Tribolium castaneum: one gene and its partners. The protein of the gene in region 1 purifies or fractionates together with the protein of each later gene. This does not show direct contact. Links are inferred from orthologs where the notes say so. Each region holds a gene or a part of one and is shown in the gene's direction. Other genes may lie near its edges.

What was found.
Region 2: the proteins of me31B (region 1) and tral purify together in Drosophila melanogaster (affinity purification with western blotting; 6 studies listed by BioGRID, with this or other methods). This does not show direct contact. The link is inferred for Tribolium castaneum from reciprocal best matches to the Drosophila melanogaster genes me31B and tral.
Region 3: the proteins of me31B (region 1) and yps purify together in Drosophila melanogaster (affinity purification with western blotting; 3 studies listed by BioGRID, with this or other methods). This does not show direct contact. The link is inferred for Tribolium castaneum from reciprocal best matches to the Drosophila melanogaster genes me31B and yps.
Region 4: the proteins of me31B (region 1) and Patr-1 purify together in Drosophila melanogaster (affinity purification with western blotting; 5 studies listed by BioGRID). This does not show direct contact. The link is inferred for Tribolium castaneum from reciprocal best matches to the Drosophila melanogaster genes me31B and Patr-1.

The regions. Positions count from the first base shown.
Region 1 is NC_087402.1:3,102,795-3,108,599, forward strand, and holds the start of me31B (ATP-dependent RNA helicase me31b), read left to right. Parts: upstream 1-2,007; 5' UTR 2,008-2,142; exon of another isoform or gene 2,143-2,280; intron 2,281-2,564; 5' UTR 2,565-2,686; coding exon 2,687-2,739; intron 2,740-2,793; coding exon 2,794-2,875; intron 2,876-3,106; coding exon 3,107-3,275; intron 3,276-4,060; coding exon 4,061-4,617; intron 4,618-4,666; coding exon 4,667-5,131; 3' UTR 5,132-5,805. Other genes in the region: KIF-binding protein, read right to left, coding at 1-752, 798-999. UniProt on the Drosophila melanogaster protein: ATP-dependent RNA helicase which is a core component of a variety of ribonucleoprotein complexes (RNPs) that play critical roles in translational repression and mRNA decapping during embryogenesis, oogenesis, neurogenesis and neurotransmission.
Region 2 is NC_087394.1:10,182,679-10,187,764, forward strand, and holds part of tral (protein LSM14 homolog B), read left to right. Parts: intron 1-1,809; coding exon 1,810-2,235; intron 2,236-5,086.
Region 3 is NC_087398.1:13,289,247-13,294,876, forward strand, and holds the start of yps (Y-box factor homolog), read left to right. Parts: upstream 1-2,054; 5' UTR 2,055-2,167; coding exon 2,168-2,243; intron 2,244-3,006; coding exon 3,007-3,104; intron 3,105-3,271; exon of another isoform or gene 3,272-3,408; intron 3,409-5,630. Other genes in the region: fws (conserved oligomeric Golgi complex subunit 5), read left to right, coding at 1,289-1,796.
Region 4 is NC_087401.1:15,388,940-15,393,129, forward strand, and holds the end of Patr-1 (protein PAT1 homolog 1), read left to right. Parts: intron 1-1,028; coding exon 1,029-1,721; intron 1,722-2,196; coding exon 2,197-2,454; 3' UTR 2,455-2,964; downstream 2,965-4,190.

The DNA.
Region 1 (5,805 bases):
CGAAAGCGTGCAGTTTTTGTCAATGTCGTCGGTGTGATTCAGCAGTCGTTCCTTAGACTTGGATAGGAGAAGTAAGCCGTATTTGGCCCAACATCGCGCAATATCGGCCGACCGGTGCTTGAAAACTTCCATCTTGGCGTCAAAAGCCTCATTTCTTTCGGTGATAGCGTCCAGGGTTTTCGCATACTCGTCCAAAATGAGCGAGCTGGCAGCCAAGTGATGTCTCGCTTGTTTGAAACCGTTCTGTTCCATGAGAAACTGGGACAGTGTAGCGGCGTTCAAAGCCCAGTCTATGGACTCATAGTCACCACTATCCAACTGTCTTTGTAAAGTGTTGTGGCAGTAAACTGCACTTTTTAATGCGTCTTTCAACGCCCCGTATATTTGGGCCAAGTAGTACACTGTCAAAGTGTAAACTTTCTCAAAGTTAATCCAAGCCGTTTCAATGTCGTTTAGTTCGAAGTTTGGGTTAAACAAGTCTTTTATGTCAACTGGTGGTACGTTCGATTTCTTGTAAGTCGCGTACAACCGTTCAGCCTTTTCGAGGTAAGTTTTAGACTTTTCTGGCTCTCTTTGCGACCACAAAATCCCAAACTGGTTGTACATATTCAATGTTACCATAACCACTTGGGGCTCCTCTGTGCAATCCTTTATCAGGTCTTCACACTTTGCCAAATAGCCCTCCCCAGTCGATAATTCCTCAGTGGCAATTGAAGTCATACCAAGATACAGGTACACACTTCCCAACATTGCTAAAATTATCACCTTCAGGCAAATTTACAACAATGTGGCACCACCTGTTAGTTTTATCTTGTCATTGTCTGGCTGAGTTTCTATCACATTTTCTAGACTCGCTTTCATGCTGACTAGGGTCTCGCTGGCCGCATATTTCGACACGAAAGGCTGATTTTCAGGGTCGTATTTACTGTCCTCGAGTAACTTAAGGACCTTATTGAATTTTTCCTCTAAATCGACAAAAACCTCCTTGCTTGCAGTCATGACGTATACTGAAAATTATTGCAAAATGTAACTCTCCAAAAATGCGGCAATACAGTTATTACCGAAATCTCAATTTTTTGCTAAAATTCTGTTTATTTGTTATTAAAATGACCGACAAATTGTAGGTTAAATAGCTGTCAAATCATGGATGAAAAAGGTGGTGCCAGGGTGGTGAAACCTAAATGCACCAAGCCAAGTATAGGCGCCAAATTCAAAATCGACTGTAGTTCGGCTTGCTATCGCAGATGTCGCACACACGTATAGTCAATTTTAGCGAAGCTACCTATAATATCGGCAGAAATTAACAGTGGACCTGTGACAGTTGCCATTGTGTAAATCGCCATTTTGTGCTTGGTTTGTTTGGTGTTCGCCTTCGGCTTTGTTTTATGTGAAATTAGTACTGTTTTGTGGTTTTTTTCGTGTGTGTGCTTTTTTGAACTTTTTTATTGTGGGAATATAAATAATTTGATGGATCAATCATTAGTTTATAGTTATCGTATCGTGTATATTGACTAGTGATAATAAATTTTTATTACAAGTTTATTGTCTTTATTTATTCTCATATTTTATTTTTCGTATTCTTTGTAAATATTCAGCAACAATAGTTGTCTAACATCAGAAAGTGTTATTAGCAACTATTGTTGTGAATATTTACAAACAATACGAAAAATGCAATCAAACTTTAAAAGAAAAGTAACTACGGGCAATTCAAATCGCCCGCCGATAACGCTTAGTACGCGCTGGCAACAATAGATGTGCTAGTGACACTTTCGCTCTATCGGGACAAGGACAGATGCGTTTCTGTAAAACCTGTTATTCTGTGGGTGGTGCCAGAGAACAAGGTGGTGCTGTGGGTGGTGAGAAGAGAACAAGGTGGTGCGCGCAATTTGAACGCTTTTTTGTGAGCTTTTTACATGAGTGGTTACTTAATTTTATTATGGTTGAAGGAGACGGACCCTATCAGGGGCGCTTTGTTATCACTGCCATAAAAAAATTGTATTTTTTGGCCAAAAATTTCAAAAATTCTTTGATTTTTTCCGATTGTTTCTCGCGCCATCTCACGGGTTGTCCTTTGGTTAGCGGAGCATCCTGGCATTGCAGATTCGCGGCCATTGTTAATTGCTGAAAGTCATTTTCCTTTTGGTGAGTAAAGCGTCCATATCAGTGGTAAAAGTTATTCGAAAAGAGCGATTTGATGCAAAAATCACACATTATGAGCAATGTCTGAGTATTTCCCAGGGTGTCTCGACGGTATTCCTTAAATTCTTTGTCCAGAATCAGGTAAATTTGCGTCGTTGTGCAATAATTTATGTGTAGTCGACGGTGCACTGTACACAAGAATCAGTAGCCATTTTAATTAGAAATCTGAATCCTGTTTATTTGTTGCAATCGTCGAACTTTTGGCCGTTTTTGAGGGTTTTATTTCCGTATCGCCAGTGAATGTTCATGACCTGGCTATTATTGACACTGCAACAATTACGGGATGTTCTATTTTTGTGGTTATATCTATTCCGTATTGACCTTAAATTTTCTGCGTCATTGATGTTTAAACTGGGATTTTGCAGATTATTATCGTTCCTGTGAGGGATCTTAGGAACTGTACTTATCCTACACATTGTAGAGGAAGAAGATTTGGGTTTTATAAACCCTATTTTTTAATACACTTGCAATAGTATTTTCTACAATTATGATGACGGACACATTGAATTCGAACCATGTGATGGCTTTGTCAGGCAAAGTGTAAGTTGTTTGCTTATCATTAAGAATGTGCGGTGACGAACCGCTTCCTTGCAGTGATATTGACACCAAAATGGATGACATGGGATGGAAAGCCAAACTGAAGATTCCACCCAAGGATAGGAGAATACAGACCAGTGTAAGTTAAAACTCACTGCTTTGTACGTTCACGGTCACTTGGAAGGCTTTGGGTCACTTGCATGTCTAAACCGGGAATAATATTCAAAGCTTTCCATTATTAACATGATGACACTATGGATTCCCCTTCATTTTTCTTATAAATGATAACGTCTTGCCTGATTTCATGCATTTCTTTCACCATTCGTGCAAAAAAGGTGTTACCGTTATTTTATCAAGTATTTGTTACTAGGATGTGACTGATACCAGGGGAAATGAATTTGAAGAATTCTGCTTGAAGAGAGAATTATTAATGGGTATTTTTGAAAAAGGGTGGGAGAAACCGTCTCCTATCCAAGAAGCTTCTATTCCAATTGCGTTATCTGGCAAGGATATTCTTGCAAGGGCAAAAAATGGCACAGGTATGTTTTTTACTCAATGTTTAGTGCATATTTAGTAAGCCTGTTCTGTTACTCAATAATTGGATGGGGGGACAAATATGCAAAACTAATGGCTTGATTTTTGCTAATAGTCATATTTATTTTTGAATATGACGCAAAAAATCACATACAGTAATTTGCGCTTATGAAATACCAGCTCGAATAAGTGGGCGCTATAAATCAGTCAAGCTACTTTATTTGGTAATTTAGTTCGCAGAATTGAGCTTTTTTGTACAAAATTTTTTTAACAATCAAGTCAATAATAAAACGTTCTCTTTTTTGTAATTCTGATTGTACTTTCTTAATTTACTAATTTACTTGTGATGTCAAAAAATACGTGTTATTATTAAACTGTCCTATTCTAAAAAACACGCGATGTAAAAAATTAATTTGTGTTTTTTTTTATATTTTCTTTCACTACATAAGCGGTAGTTCGAACCGAGACACAGACAAACACCAGAAATGTTAAAATCATCGTTATTTGTTCACTGCCTATTGTAAATTGGGTGACCTTGTTTACTTGTATTCGTTATGTACTCGAAATACATTACCTCTCTAGCTCACTTGTGTTTGTTTGCTTATCTTTTTTGGATGTAATACTGTTTATTGCATTTATCATTATACATATATCATATCAGATATACCAAAAACTGGAAATTAGTTACAAATCAATATTTTTATAATAAAAAAAGACAAAGAAGAGGGCCAAACTTTTACAGACATAATCTAAAAATTGGCTGTCAATTATTGAATGCTTTGGTCTTCAGGTAAAACCGGTGCGTACAGTATTCCCGTGTTGGAACAGATCGATCCCAAGAAAGACTGCATTCAAGCACTGATCATAGTGCCTACACGAGAGCTCGCGCTTCAAACGTCACAAATTTGCATTGAGCTCGCTAAGCACTTGGACGTGCGCGTGATGGTAACGACCGGTGGAACAAATTTAAGAGATGACATAATGCGCATCTACCAGAAAGTACAAGTTATTATAGCAACGCCTGGCCGCATCCTCGATCTGATGGAAAAGGGTGTCGCCGTAATGGACCAGTGCAAGATTCTAGTTTTAGACGAAGCCGACAAGCTTCTCTCACAAGACTTCAAGGGGATGCTCGACACTGTGATAAAGAACTTACCGCAAGAGAGACAAATACTGTTGTTCTCCGCCACGTTTCCTCTCACAGTTGAGCAGTTTATGCGAAAACATCTCCGAGATCCGTACGAGATCAATCTCATGGAGGAGCTCACTCTTAAAGGTGTCACGCAATACTATGCGTTCGTTCAAGAACGTCAGAAAGTACACTGTTTAAATACTCTGTTTTCAAAGGTTGGGCTCTTGGTATTTTGGTTTATTTTTTCTGACAGTTTTTTTCTAGTTACAAATAAACCAAAGCATAATATTCTGCAATTCCACGCAACGTGTCGAATTGTTGGCGAAGAAAATCACCGAACTTGGTTATTGCTGCTACTACATTCACGCCAAGATGGCTCAAGCGCATCGCAACAGAGTATTCCATGATTTTCGAGCTGGTCTCTGCCGAAATCTAGTCTGTTCTGATCTGTTTACAAGAGGTATCGATGTGCAAGCCGTCAACGTCGTCATCAATTTCGACTTCCCGAAAATGGCAGAGACGTATCTGCACCGTATCGGTAGATCTGGAAGATTTGGGCACTTGGGCATTGCCATCAACTTGATTACTTACGATGATCGATTCGCGCTTCATCGCATTGAACAAGAGTTGGGAACGGAGATCAAGCCGATCCCGAAAGTGATCGATCCCAAGTTGTACGTGGCCAAGTTAATAGACGACGAAGATACTCCAGAAGACAACGCCAAGTAACGCGGTGTGTTACGAAATATCACTGATAACTGTAAATATTAAACAACGTACTTTCCGAAGAATTAAATTTCTGTTGAAGACTTTTTTATACTAAAAAAGGGTGATATACTGATTTATTTAAGAGATTCTGCACTACTACGTAACTTATCACAGTGATTCTACATTTGGGGCCTAAGCTTTAAATCGCATAAGTTGTTACCCGTGTGCATTTAAAGCTGCAAAATTCTACAGTCACTATTTTACAACGCCATGAAATTCGTTACTTACCATCCGAATCTCCGCGAATTTGATGGCCGCGTAAAACCGCACTGTGATACGTTCGAGTCGTCGGTGCAGATCTAGTTCTTAAACTATAAGTTGAACAGTGTGAACTTTGATAGTGAAAAACTAAAATGTGTTAAAACTGAGAAAAGACTCCTAAGTGTGCTAATAATGTGACTTGGGTTCAGGGAACGAGAAGAAAGAAGAGGAGTGATAGTGCTCCAACAATTTTTCCGAGGAGATTCTTATTACGATTCGGTGGGGCCTCCGAATTGTGACGTGTTCAAGCATTGCGAAAAAGGCCCAAAATTCTGTTTGGGGGATGTCCAAAATTATCCTAGAATTGTTTATTACCGAATCTTCCGCAAATTGATTCTTTAACACCGAATTTTAAAGACTTGTTTTTCATTTTT
Region 2 (5,086 bases), on another chromosome or scaffold:
CTTGCGAAATGAACGAGAGAAAAATACTCATTATTATTATTTTTTATTACCCACTGTCTTCTAATAAAAACAATTCACCACTAAAAAACAGTTGTTGGTACTAAACCATCCACCAAATTTGGAACCTAAGGGTGTAGCCGTTTTTGAGAAAAAAAGCTAAAACTATTTTTTTAGGCTAACTTTTGATGCGAATAACTCTGCAGGGGAGTTCTTTTTCGAAAAATTTTCTAAGAAAGACATTCCGTAAAATCACTTGTAGAACACGCTTTTGAAAGGAATGCATTTATTTCGCTAATACCCTGTATGTTGAAATGATTTTCACCTATTTTGACGAAATTTATTGCTCATATTGTTAACTGTAGCATTGAGGTTGGATATTATCCTGAAATGTGGAAAACCGCTTTAGTGCGTTCTCTACCAAAAATTAAAAATTCCAATGCATGCTCTGATTTGAGACCCTTTACAATGTTATCAAGATATCAAAAAATTACAGCCCTGGTAAAAATTCTTGATGATTGTTTTAAAGGTTTAGATAAAGATGAGGCGACTATTGTGACATTATTGTTGGATTTTTCCAAAACGTTTGACACCTTTTATGTGGAAAATTATCATTTTACGGTTTCGACGAAATTTCATCAATTTTTTTTTCATATCTGATAAATAGAAAGCAAATTGTTACTATAGGCATCTCACAATCAAGAGCAGGTAATATTACATCCGGTGTTCCACAAGGCTCAATTTTAGGACCGCTTCTATTATTTATTTACATCATAAGTATATTAGAATCCGTAAATTATGTAAATAGCCATCTCTTTGCAGATAATACGCAGTTTTATTATCATTTTTATCCTAATAATGTAGAACGGCTCACGATTTTATTAATAAAGGTTTAAATGAAGTTTTTTATTTTCTAAAAGCATTGACTTGAATTTATGCGAGCAAATGTTTGTCAATTTGTATTTCCATAAGAAACACAAAAATAAACTCAAAAATCAATCTCAAAATTATACAAATAGATGTCGCCAATAATTTTAAAAATCTTGGAACTATAACATTCGGAATTTCTATTTAGAGAATATTGAATTTTATTGAAATATTGTAATAAGATCTTACATTGTATTAAATATGTTATATTCCAACTGCAATATTTTGCGTTTTAAATTTCGAAAAAAACTGCGAATTATTGGTGCTTTCTGACCTTAACTATAGTCTTATTATTGAATTATCGTTTCAAATATCAACTAAAAAAAATATAAAATTCGTGTGCTCGTTTTATTTATAAGTTAAGAAAATTTGACCATGCATCTAAAAAAAAAAGAATTTGGTTGGTTGATGGTAGACCAAATTTTATAATTATTTTTTGTCACTGTTTATCTATAAAATGTTTGTTACAGCTTCACCACTATTTCATTCAAGAAAAAGTTGCTATCAAGTTTCTGTGCGTAATATTGTTGATCTCGTACATTATAATACAATAACGTTATCATTTGTTTAAAGAAAAACTTTCGGTGAACAATTTTCGCAATAAAATAAAAGCATATTTTTCCAATCTCTAGGTTTTTTCCAAAATTCTTATTGCTTTTTGTTGTTTTCTTCTTGTTTTATTTTTTTTTAATATGTGCAATTTTTGTAAATTTCATTTCGATTATTCGTTTATTTATTTATTTTTTTGTTTATGTACTTCTTAGATGATAAGCGGGTTAAGTTGGAATAGCAATTGCTAGACTTCGGCTCTCGAGTTGTATTTACAATTCAATAAAAACGTGTTATTATTATTATTGTTATTAACTTTTGCGCATTTTCTTCCAGTTCGCTCATTTGGTACTGAAGACAGGGAGACGCCTTACCCCGTCCCTGCCCAGAACCAAGTCTATGACTACATTTTATTCCGCGGCTCTGACATCAAAGATATTCGAGTTGTGAATAATGTTGCTCAACCTCTTAACGATCCGGCGATTATGCAGCTGTCGGTTCCTCCAACATTGGGACAGCAGCAGTTCCAGAACCATCCGATGATGGGGCACCCCCTGGGGCCCCAAATGGGACAATTTGCGTCGGGTTATGGAGCGATGGGTTCAATGGCAGGTCTGTCGAGTGGCATGGTACCGGGTATGGGTATGTCGAGAGATCCCAGAGGTCTCGCTGGTAATAAACCAAATGATTTAATTATACCGGGTACGGAACAACCACAAGTCCTATCTCCTGCAGTTGAACCGCCTCGACCAAGCGATCACGGTAACGTAATTTTTGACGGCTTCTTGCTTGATTTGCTGCCAAAGTTGTCGCTTATGCGTGCTTTTTATTGCAAGGAGTTAGGAAGTTGTTGTAGGAATTATTTAGTTTTATTTTGGACTTTTTCGGGGAATATGTGTTGTGTTTTGTTGCTTATTTTTTAGCGAGTTACATTGTTTTTTAAAGTTAGTTCTAAAAATTTGATCTGAACAAAAAATTTCAATTGTGTGACTAAACAAAAGTGTGGACAAGAGTGCCGTAAAAATTTTATTTTGTAAACGAATATCGTGAATAGTAACTTAAATTGTTATAGTGTGTTAAATTTGTCTCTTGAACACATTTTTATACCTCATTCTATTTTTGGTTGAAGGTGTCTGTGTTCTTTTTAATGGCACAAACTGTTGTCAGAAAATTTTATTAGTGATTTTAAAAAATTAAAATCAAGTTGTCCAATTTATTTTTGCTTTTTTGCGCATTGGGTACGTGTTTGAGTATAAAACTTGGGGGTTTTTGTTACACAGAGCTTATAAATGTTATTCCTCTTCGTGTTTTAGCACGTTTTTTTTTATTAGCTGAAAAATCAACTATTATGAGAGATTTTGTCAAAAATGAGTTGAACAATGACTCAATTTGCGTTGAAAATGGACTTAATTTATTGTATTGTTTATTTGACTTTTTTGATCTTTTGGAAACGTTATTGAATTAAAAGTTAAATAACATATTATGGATTTTTTGTGAGCATATCAACGTAAAATTTCTTAAAAATAAATCAATTTTAAAAATTGTATTATTTTTGTCTTGTCTATGAGCACATTACTCAACTGTAAACTCAAGCCTTCGTACGATTTTGATTAAACCGTTCCGAAAAATTACTAAATATAGTCGAAAAAACTCGAAAAGAACTTTATTTTTAGCGTTTTGCATCTGACTTTGTCAAAAACTTTTATCGATCGATTATTTGAATTTATAATTACAATAAGCTTTATCAGTTTTTTACTTGAATGGAAACGCCGATTGTGTTAATTAATCAAGCTTAAGGGTCAAATAATAAGGTTTCGAACGGTAATATTAATTTAGAATATATTTTTTCTCTCAGTTTGTGCTGGTTTTTCAATCATAAAGACACAAAATCGCCTACTCTAAGTATAAATTCAAATGATAGCATGGTATTACGAAAGAGTGAATCAAAAATGAACTGAAAATGTACAAAAGTGGCTTGTAAGTTGCGTTGTTTTTGCCTTTCGTAATTGTTTAAGCACATTTTTGAGCCAGAAACTTGGTTTCTTTGTGAGATTTTGTCGGACTGGGTTAAAAAAATCGCTAAATTACTTCTTTAATTACATAATTTTAACATATTTTGCTGGATTTAATTCGTTTTTCAACTTGAAACTTTGTTATTTTATGCAAAATAAACCATTTTATTCAATCGGTAGAAATTTTGTCTTTTTTTTAATGTTTTTATGCGAGATTTTTTTAAAATCATACCGAAAAATTACGTAATTCAGTCGAAAATGGCATAATTTTTGTCTTATTCGATAGTTTTAGCATGTGTCTTAACAGATTTTATTAAAAATAAGCTAAAAATTTACTAGTTTAGCTCGAAAATGGCATTATTTATGACCTTTTTGATCATTCAGGTATTTATCTACACTTTTAGCTAAAAAATTGTTTTGTGGGATTTTCCCGTACCGGTTAAAAAAATAATTCGTCAAAGATATATAAGTTTGCAAATTTTTGCATGTTTTATTCGCTTTAGTTCGTTTTCAACTGTAATCTCACTTATTTCATGAAAAATAACTTGAAAGTTGACCAGATTTATTAGTGAATGTGTGATCTTTGCTTTTTTTTAAAAGGAGCTATAGATCTAAAGATAAATAAATTTACAAAATTTTTAAGTTGTTAGATAGTTTTCTCCATGATAAACACTGTTATTATACCTGGCACAAATTAGCCGAAAGTTTACCAAAAAAGACCGGAGAAGCGTCATTTTTACGAGACTATTTTACTTAGTAAATCACATTTTTTTTCGAAATTCTCGTATGTCGTAAAAAATACGCCAAAAAGTTCTTTTTATATTTATCTATACAACATTTTTTATCATGTTTTGAACTCTCTTTTCGCAAAATTAAAGCTGCAATAATGTCTTTGTGAAATTTTGCTAAAACTGTACCAAACCATTGCTAAATTATTTTCAATATAACATATTGTTTTTATTTTTTATTCAGTCAGCAACGCATTTGTTTTTCAAAATTTAGGCAAAAATCAGCGGAAAAGTGCAATCTGTTTTCTTTTTTAAGTGTTTAAGCATCTTCTTATGTTAAAAACTTGGTTTCTTTATAAATAAGATGTTACCAAACTGATCAAAAAATTGCTAAATTATTTCGTAAATTACATTATTTTAGCATGTTTCGTTTGATTTAGTTTGAAGAAAAAGAAGCTATAAACTTACATTTTTCACGAAATTTTGCTAAAACTTGATAAATAATTGAATAAATTAGGTCACAAATAACAATTTTGTGTTTTTTTTCTATTGTTTTGGCACGTTTTTTTCTCAGATATACTCAATCATTTCGAGAGAATATTTATTGATAAAATCACTAAATTGTATCGAAAATTACATGCTGAATATTACGCGTAAGTTTACAATTTTATCATTTTATTTCGATAAAAATTAATATTACATTTCTTTATTTTGTGAATTTCATTTTTTAAGTTTTTTTACGCTGAGGGTAACTTGCATAGCCAAGCCTTATCCAAAAAACCTCCTGATTTATACCTAGATAGAAAGTACTTCGTTTTGAAAGCATGATTTTTATGGTTAGTGTTGGAATAATCATAAAAAATACTTAATGGT
Region 3 (5,630 bases), on another chromosome or scaffold:
ACAAAGCAGATAGAGCATTAATTTATCTATTGTAATAGATAAAAATAATGCATAAATTATGTCGCACCTCGTGGATGACAAACCACTCGTTTTCACTCGTGGAATAAAACGTCCGATTTACACTAAAACTCGTTAAACTACTTCACAAAAATTAAGATTTCTGTTATCATGGTTTTATTAATTCTTAAAATTATATAGGGTGATTCTTTTAATGTCTTATTAAAAAAAATTAACTTCTGATATAGCTAGAGCATTAAAATTTTGTATACGATCCAAATCGACCATTGTGAGTTGAACTAAATTATTTTCAAAATGATTGAGCTACTCAGACTACGAGAAATTGGCGCCAACTTTGAAATTTTAAATAGTAACCACAATTTTATAGCATTTTTGAATTCAACTTCTCAAACTGAGGAAAATTTACCCAAGTTGTTAGTACTTATTTTATATAGTTTTTGAGATACCATGTTATTTTTTTTGTTAAAATTTTTATTTGCAAAGGTTTATCTAAAATATCACAGCCCTTGAATCCTTTGTGGTAATTGATATTTTTTTACATTTGATAACCGATGGTTTGAAGTCTTCTGGCATTTTCAAAATTATCAACTGTCAAAATTCAAGGCTGGTATGATTTTTTTAAAATGGTTATTAAAAAACGTTTATAACTCAGTTTTTTCAAATGGAACGACCTTATTTTCTTAATGGTAATCGAAAGAATATCGAGATCATGGTGACTTTTATTAACACATCCTATATCTATCTCTTACAGTTTTGAAATAATCACAAAAAACTGATTTTACTTAGTAATTTTCATCGTAATCAAGTAGGCCTTTCAAAATTGTCAACAAATGTCACACTTATCCTAAAGAGTTGAAGAGCTGTGCTATTTTGAATGAACCCTTGCAAATAAATGTTTGCCATAGATGTTTGCTTAAAAAAATTGACAAATATCAAAAAGTATGACAGATTGTTACTAAGAAATAGGGTACATTTTACTCCGTTTCAAAAGGCGAATACAAAAATGCTGTGAAATAAGACTATTTTAAAGGAAATTTAATTTTCTACAACTTTCTCCTTAAAATTTTTCTAGTTATTTTTAAACATTCCCCGCGTTATGAAAAATCTGAGTCAATACTTAAATTAAAAAAGAAAATCACATGTTTCTAGTGAAAATTTTTATATCTCATTTCGGCTTCTAATCTACAGTTCTTCTTAGTTGGGGCGAACTTCCCTACACCTCAAACTTTTATTTAAACAACTATTTCTTTAAATTAATTATGTAATAAAGATGTAGCGAAATCGCCGTCCGTTGCATTGAGCTCCTGGTCCGCCACTCCTCCTTACTCCGGCCCATATCACAAGGGGGGCGCGTGCGACTCCAGTCCGACTACCTCCATCTCGAAGGCGCCCTCAGGGTGATTTGCCCCCATTTGAGCGATTTGGGGCGTCCTTATCGTTTACTAAAATCCATGGCGTCTCTTGTCACCCTAACTCCAGAGGAAATCGTCGCAAGTCAAGCTTCTGAAAGCTCAGTGCCTCACAGTACCGTTTTACTTTTATTATTTTCATTTGCCGGAAGTGAATTGGCGAGTCCGCACCAAAACACAGCGTGGTCACTTCCGAAATTATCGGCCTGGTTGGATGAGCACCCTTCGGAATCGGATCGGTTGGATTTGATCGTGGGAGCCCTCCAAAAGTACGAAAATCTAGTGAGGCAGAAAAATTCCGTTAATTATGACCCGGTTTATCCGATCATGTCTACGTTTTTGGAAAATGCGGTTAAAACGGTTAAATAAATATTTTGTTAAACTTTGATTTTGTTTTCCTGATTACGGTCCTGTATTCAATTGCTTGGCAACGGCCCTCTAGTGGCGCCACTACCAACGAAAAATAATAGCGTGGTTGTTAGCCACTAGGCGACGCTTTGGGGCATGCGCATTGCTGGGTGAAATTTTGCGTAATTGCGACATATGTGATGCGGGGAGCATGTGTGTGAGAAAGAGAGGATCGATAATGAGCGTGTCCGTGATTGATTCAGCGAGTTTATTTAATGTTGAAAAAATTGAGCATCGACAAGATCTTCAACAACTGTGAAAGGCAGGAAGGAGGAAGGAAGAACATCGTGGAAAGAGGAGTTTAACATCAGCCAACCGGCCCTTTTACCATCATGGCTGAAGCTGAACAGCAGCAACAACAACCAACAGCGGAACCGCCGAAAGTCAACAAACAGAAGGAAGTGATCGGTGAGTAAATTGCGTTTGCGGGGTTTTTGTGTGGGCCCGGCGTCCATCTTCTCTGCACCGAGCACATGGCCGGTTTTCCGCTGAGTGGGGCCGTGAAAAGCGCTTTTCGCGAATGTCTGACAGTTTTCCACCGCTTTGACTGTAGTTTTCCCGACGCGGTTGTCATTTGTTTGAGAGGAGCCCACTTTGCGCTATTCGGGATGCAGGCCGCCATTGTGAGGACGCGCTTATTATCCTCCGAGTGGAACGAAAGTGGTTAATTGAGGAGGAAAAGGGGCTTTTTGTCAAATTGGGGACCATTCGGGACGCAATTTATTTATAAATGTAGGCGTCACGTGGAAGCGGCCCGGCGTTTTGACTTTTTTGGCGGCGTCACGATTATTTTTAGATAATTCTCACGATTTTCTCGTAACGGAGGTAAAAAACCGAAAGCATTGGCCGGTTCAAGGCTGAGAGCTTGAGAGAATAAAAAATCGCGAAATTGCAACAAAAAATCAAAACCAGTCAAATCAAACCAAGTTTTTGTGTCATTTTATGCCTTATCTAGTTGGCCTGACTACCTTTTCGGGCTTTCCGAATTTCTCTCTTATCCAGTTTTTTGACTTGTCAAAAAAGAAATTATTTTTAAGAAATTACTAGAAATGTTTTTTATCGCTCCTACTAGTTAACGACGTCAAAAAAAGAAAAATCTTGTCTGTAAAATGGTCTGATTAATTGAAAAATTTCCTCTAAAATCATTTTGTTAATTTATGTTTTTTTTCAGCTAGCAAAGTAACAGGGACTGTGAAATGGTTCAATGTGAAGAGCGGTTACGGCTTCATCAACCGAAACGACACCAAGGAGGATGTTTTTGTACACCAAGTGAGTGAAAAATTTGTTTTTCAAATCTTATCACATGTACAAATTAATATGCAGTTAAATTGCTTTGTTGCGATTTTTTCTTATCGGTTCAATTTTGTATGCAAGCATTTGTCAAGGTTTCTTGACAATTTTATTCAAATCACATGATAAGTAAAATTGATTGATTTTGCACGCTCCATAGATCCATCTCTGGTTTTCTAAAGAGATGCTTGAGTCATTGGTGTGCTAAAGTACTGTACCTCCAAAATTTCAATAAAAATGGTGCTGATCAAATGATTGCATTGGACTGGATTTTGGGGAACAGTTTATTATATTAATATTATTGTATTATCTCTTGGGGCTGTGATAATATTTATCACAGCATCCTGCTTATTGTTATTGCTTTTTTGACATTTATCGTTAGATAATAGGTTTTTTAAAATTTTGTTTTTATGTAAACAAAAACAAGTTGGTTTTGACTTGGGTATCAGTTTAGTTTTAATTCTTTTTGATTAAAATTTGTCAGTCTTTTGTGTAAGATTAGTTTTTATGGTTGTAGTAAAATTTATTGCTCGAATTTAATGTGTTTCGTTCGTCGATAAATTAATTATGTTGCCGTAGATTACAAAATTGTATTATTCGAATTGATTAAAAAAAGTTGTGACGTCACGGGAATGCACTGGTACTTTATAACAATATTTGAAGGATATTTTAAAATTAATGATTCATTAATTTTTGTAGGAAGTTCGTTATTGTTATCCTGATATCACATAATTTGACTTGTAAATTGGAACATTTTTTGAAACCTCTTATTTCCCAATTTCTAGCAAAACTCATGAAGAGGGCGCTCAAAAATTGGTGCATCAAATCAGTGATACGTTGATTAGCATTGAGAAAAATTGTAAAGTCTATTTATTGAGTTCACATTTTTGTTAATGTTTTCATATTTCATAGTTAATAAGCCGTATGAATAAAATTGAAGTATGATTATAATGCAAAAGCAAATATTTGAAGTAAAAAGTAAAAACATTTGATTAGTTTGAATAAGCTTTTACTTTGAAGTCAGTGCTTTAGTTTTATTATGTAATGAATTTTCTTACTCTTAGTTGTACAACATCCTCCATCGTTTAGAGTTTGGTATGTTACTTTAAACAGGTGATGCTCGTACTGATTAGTATCAACAATTTTGAAGTAAATTTTTAATGAAAATAGCATTTACTGTATATTATTAACTTTGTTTGGTAAAAAAATGAGTAAAACTTTGATGTTAGAGTAAATACTCGTACAGGGTGCTATTAGTTGTATTAAAAGCTAATAATGAAATTTTTATTCATACATTTTAGAGTATTTTCTCGCAAAAATTTAAGCAAAAGCATTTACTCAATTTTATTCATACGGTCCAACACCTTTTCGTGACATACTTAATAACAAATTTTGTTTTTAAATTTAGTATTAATCTTACAGATTTTTGATAAAAAAAGTAAATTTTATCACAAAATTAAAATTTGTAGATGCAGCAACACTGTGTGTGGTGATCTCGATAATTTATTATTGTTCATTGCTTATTTCCAAGGACATCTGAACCAAGGTTCCAAAAATAAATTCACTTTTATTCTTAATATTCTATTGCTATCAGGATTGTTAGACAACGTTGCCACATATCATTTACATACTTAAAAAATTCATTATAAATTTTAATACACAGGGTGGTACATGGATTTTTTGCTAACTATAATTATCTCTTTATCTGTATAAGCATTTTTTTTACCATATACCATTAAGTTGTTTTATGGTCCCCTGTATTTCTATGCTACAACACTTATCTAATAGTTATTTAACGAATGTTCAATATTTAAAGTGTCCAGATTGGTAATCGCCGATTGACAGACTAATTATTTACAATGCTTTGATGGAATTTAAATTTATTTTCTGTTGTGCTTAAAATTGTGGCCACTATTTGCCATCATAGCATTTATATTTGCAAAAGTGAGCTCAATTTTTGAAAACAAGAGTAGAAAAGGCCAGTTTTTCAGTCATTGAAGAAATGGACTTTTTTCGACAATTATAAATCTCTTGGTAGGTAAAAACTGAGCTTCGTTGTATAAATATAGCGATTTTTTTTTTTAATAAATCAATTGATTTATTAGACTGTTTAAAATTTATATTGAAACAGTTAAGAATTCTATTCATGAACAATTTACTCTATTTTCTTATTTTCATCGTTAAAAACTTCAAACAATTCTTCCTGTAAGTAATAAAGATAGTTCATACGTCTCAGGTTCATAAATCACGAGGTTTTTTTAACTTTGTTGTGTTGCTATTCTTATTTTTAAATTAACCATTCATTAGTTCTAGTTTCGTCATTCGTCTTAAAATAAATTCTGCCTATTCATTATTTTACCATTATTTATTGTTATATTATTAATCATATGTAAAATTGTACGGCCAAATTATTTTCTTGCGAAATTATTTTTTTAATTGAGGAAAAATATTCCTGGTTTAATTAGGAAATAAATGATTGGCGCCCTTGACGCGTTTTGATTTTGT
Region 4 (4,190 bases), on another chromosome or scaffold:
TTTAAAAAAGTTTATCTGAAAAAAAATATAAAAAATTACAAAAGAATCTAAAATCTACAGAAGAATTTTAAAGAGAAAATAATTTAGAGAAGAATTTTGAGAGCAGATAAAAGAGTTTTTAAAAGAAAAAGGTAAAAAGTATAAAAGAAATTTTGAAAAAAAATCTAGGGGAATTTAGTTCTTCAGAGGAGTTTCAAAGGTAAGTTTATTAGCGTTTAAAAACAGAAAACAAGAAAAAAGAATTTAAAGAAGAAAGAAATGTAAAAAAGCAGAGCACAGAGAGAGAAAACAGTTTAACTAGAACAAAATTAAAGTAAATATTTTGGGAAGCCTTAAGGAAAAAATCTGAGTAAAAGAAAATCTATAAAAGAATGTGTAAACAAATAATGAAAGAAAAATAATTTAACCGAAAATCTGTTAAGAATTTAAAGAGGATTTAGACGAAAGTCTAGAGAAGAATTAAAATAGAAATTTAGAGGTGAGTCTAAATGGAATCCAGAGAAGAATTTAAAAAAAAGAAACAAAATAATTTTAAGAAAATTTTAACGAAGATTTTACCGATACCTCGATTTAAAATAAATATCTCGAATAATTGCCCGGATTTCTTCAAATTACTCTTCACTTTAAAGAAATAATACAGATAAAAAATAAAAAAAAGAAAAAGGCGAACAGTTTATAAAAAAAAACGTGGAAAAGAATCTTGAAAAAAATCTATAGGAGCATTTAATAATAAGAAATAATAAATAAAATGATAAAAAAATACGTATTTAGAGAAGAAACTAGGATTTAAGTAAAATTGAAAGAAGAATTTTAAAACAAACAAAAGAAAAGAAACAATAATATAATATTAATAATTGAGTTAGGTAAGAAAATTAATATTTTAAACATAAATCAGCCACATTTTTAATAAACTGGTAATCTAAAGAAGATTTCGGCAGAAAATTTAAAGAAAACCTTGCGTAATTGTTTTTATTTTGTAGTATATCGAAAAAACAGTAAAACGGTTTAAAATCTCATGATTATTTTAGTGTGGGTCGGTCACTGCCCCTCGAAAAATCATCGACATGGACATAGTAACCCCCGACAAGGACTCCGACAGCCCCGTCGTGGTCCGAGACACGCGTAAAACCAAGCAACTCCTCCTTGAACTCGAAGCTCTCTTCACGCTCCTCCTCAAAGCCGAAGACCTACGTAACCCTCTCGCAATCAGCAACATGGAAAAACTGCACGAAATCAAACAAAAACAACGTTTACGTGAGCTAGATTTAGCCCCAACACCCGAACAAAAACAAGAAGTTTTGAAACTTTTAAAGCAAGACAGCGAACCAGTTGTCGAAAATCCGCACGATTATATCGTGAAAATCGTCAACGGTTTGCTGCAGGAAGACAAATTTGCCAGTTTTTTGAACATAAGAAAAGGGAAAATGTTGCTGTTGAGGCTTTTGCCACATTTGACTATGGACGGTTTTTCCGCCCAGTTGTTGGAGATTTGGACGCGGATTTTGTTGAGTATTGCCATTGTTGGGAGGAGAGATACGGCAGGCGATCACATTTTGCCCAAGTTGCATCCGTTTTTCAAGAGGTACATACAGACTAGTACGATGGGTGATATCTTGGAAATTGTGACGGGATTGGTTGAGGTCATCAGGCAGGAGAACAGCAGAAGCACGCCGTTGAGTCACCAAGGCAAAGCGCCGCTTTATTTCGTCCTCTTGAATAAAGTAAGCCACGTTTTTTCGCTTGTTTTTACCTCAAAACTAGGTTTTTCAATGTGGCGGACCGCAGACTAAACAAATTTTTTTTCCAGACTTTTACATTTTTTGAAAGTGTGAAGTGTTTTTTAAGGGAAATTATGTTCGTAAATCGTGCAAAAATCTGAAATTTTTTGTCGAAGTATCAGTTCTTACATAGGGCCGACCGCAGACTAAACACCTTGCCGCTGTTTTATATCTTGTTAAGTTTTAAACTTTGCTGTTTAAATTAGAAAGTCATTTTTAATTAAAAAAACTACTTTCAATTAAAGAGTGATTACTGAATATATCGTTATGTAAAAATGATCAAGTGTGCGAAAAGTAGGAAGTGATAATTGTCAGTGTTCCTTTAATGTTTGACACACCATTTGCGTGGTATTGCGATTTTTGTGCCTCCATATTTGTAGCCACAAGTGGGCGTGTTGTGTAATTGTTTTTTTTCCAGTTTGGTGTCTCTGCACTGGTGACGATGTTGATACGAACCGAATACCTGATTTCGTCCGAGACAGCGAGCGAGAAACAACAGAACGACTGGTCCAATTTTCTAGTGAGCTGGGCCGACCTGACAGGAGTGGTCAGTAAAGTGGCGACACCTATCGAGCCCGTTCCGATTCAGATTTTCACCAAGCATTGCAACCGCTTCGAGAATCTAACACCCGATAAGAAAATGCAGTTGGAGAAGCACTTTGTCGACTCCAACTGATCAATCTACTAATCCATATATTTTTACTTTTTATGTTTTTAGATAGGCGTCAAGAACTGTAAAAAAGGTGTACAACTTATTTTATTGTTTTTATATATGAAAGAGAGAAGTTAGATGTTGAAATTTGTTATTTGTAACAACTCTTGATTGTTGGTTGTAGCTTTTTAATTATGTGTAATTCAATTAATTATTTTTGTATATTAAATTAGTAATTTATTGGATTTGTTATGGAAATTGCACGACTCGCATCCACCGCTTTGATTTTATTGTGACGTATCCGAAATTCGTTATCGTGAGTTTGCCAATTGAGCGGCCGATGCTGGTTCATTAATTGGGCTAATGCAAAATATTTGTTTTCAATTGCATTAGTTGGAATTAACTTTAGACAATTAAGTAAATTTAACAGAACCGTTTATTTTCCAGATATCTAAATATGTTTGAAAGATATCATGCTTTTTCAATAGATAGTGAATGTCAAACGGATATATGTTAATAAAAAGTTTGACCCAACTGTTGTTTGAATTTCCCGCCCGCGCCGCGGCGCCCTCTAGCGACGCCACCGCGCCAGTGACAGCCGCGACATTGTCATAACCAAGAAATTAATAAAACATTACAGAAAAAACGCGAATTTAATGAAAATTGTGTGTTTTCGGCGACGATTAGGCCACGACGAGCGACTTTATCTCGACATTTGGGGTAAGTGCTATTTTTAGCGCGCTTATCAGTTGAAAAATGGTGTGGGTGTCAAAATGCATACAAATGGTTATTTTTAGCTTTATTTATTTTCGTTTTCTTGTTATTACCCTTCGGGGCTCTTCTTCCGGTCGTTCCGAGTCAATTTGCGCGATTGGATTAATTAATCTTTTAATGGCAAATTTTTGGCCGTAAACTGTCCTTTTACATTGGCCTATGAGTCAGTGTTGACCTTAAAAGTCCAATTTATCCTCTCGTTAATTCGTGAATTTGTTTTCTTGGCTTCCGCGGCCCAGCTGATGTGACTCATCGAGCGAAATTCGATGAAATCGTAATTGTTTTCCCGGCCTTTGGGGCGTTATTTTGAGGAAACTGGCTGTGTGATGTAATAATGTGGGTTGGAGTAATTACACAATTTGCGGGCTGTGTCTAATGAGACAAATTCAGCCGCTAATTAATTGAGTGCTTGAGGTGCTGCCAAATAAAGACTTGTCGCGGTTTGGTGTTGTTGTTGCACAATTTGGATTAGATAAGTGCGTTCAAACACCCTGTATGAGGTTGAAAAGTGCACGACATGTGCACAGGCGGCAACATCTGGCGGCCAAATACTCGCTGAAATTGTTTTTTGCAATTTTGTCGCGATAATTATACGAATATGTGACACAATCGTATTTATTGCTTTAGCAGTTAGTTACGATAAGGATGTTACAACTGTTCAATGTACGATAAATTGTTTGGCGAATTTTGACAAAGAAATTTATTTTTAAATTGTTTTGTATTCATCGATGATTGTTCTTGGAATTAAAATGAGGTGTGATGTTATTTTAACAACGTGGAACGGTTTATATATAAAGTTTGGCGACTGACTTTTTTCAAAAATAAAATTCAAAAATTCGAGTTTTTTTTATATTATTTTGTTTGTTTTAAATACTACTTTTTTAAAAGATTGCGAAATCTAATAATAATACTAATAATTAGGAGGAACTAAGAGAAAAAATCGAATCATTATCAGAAAAGAATTTAATAAAATACTTATATACAGC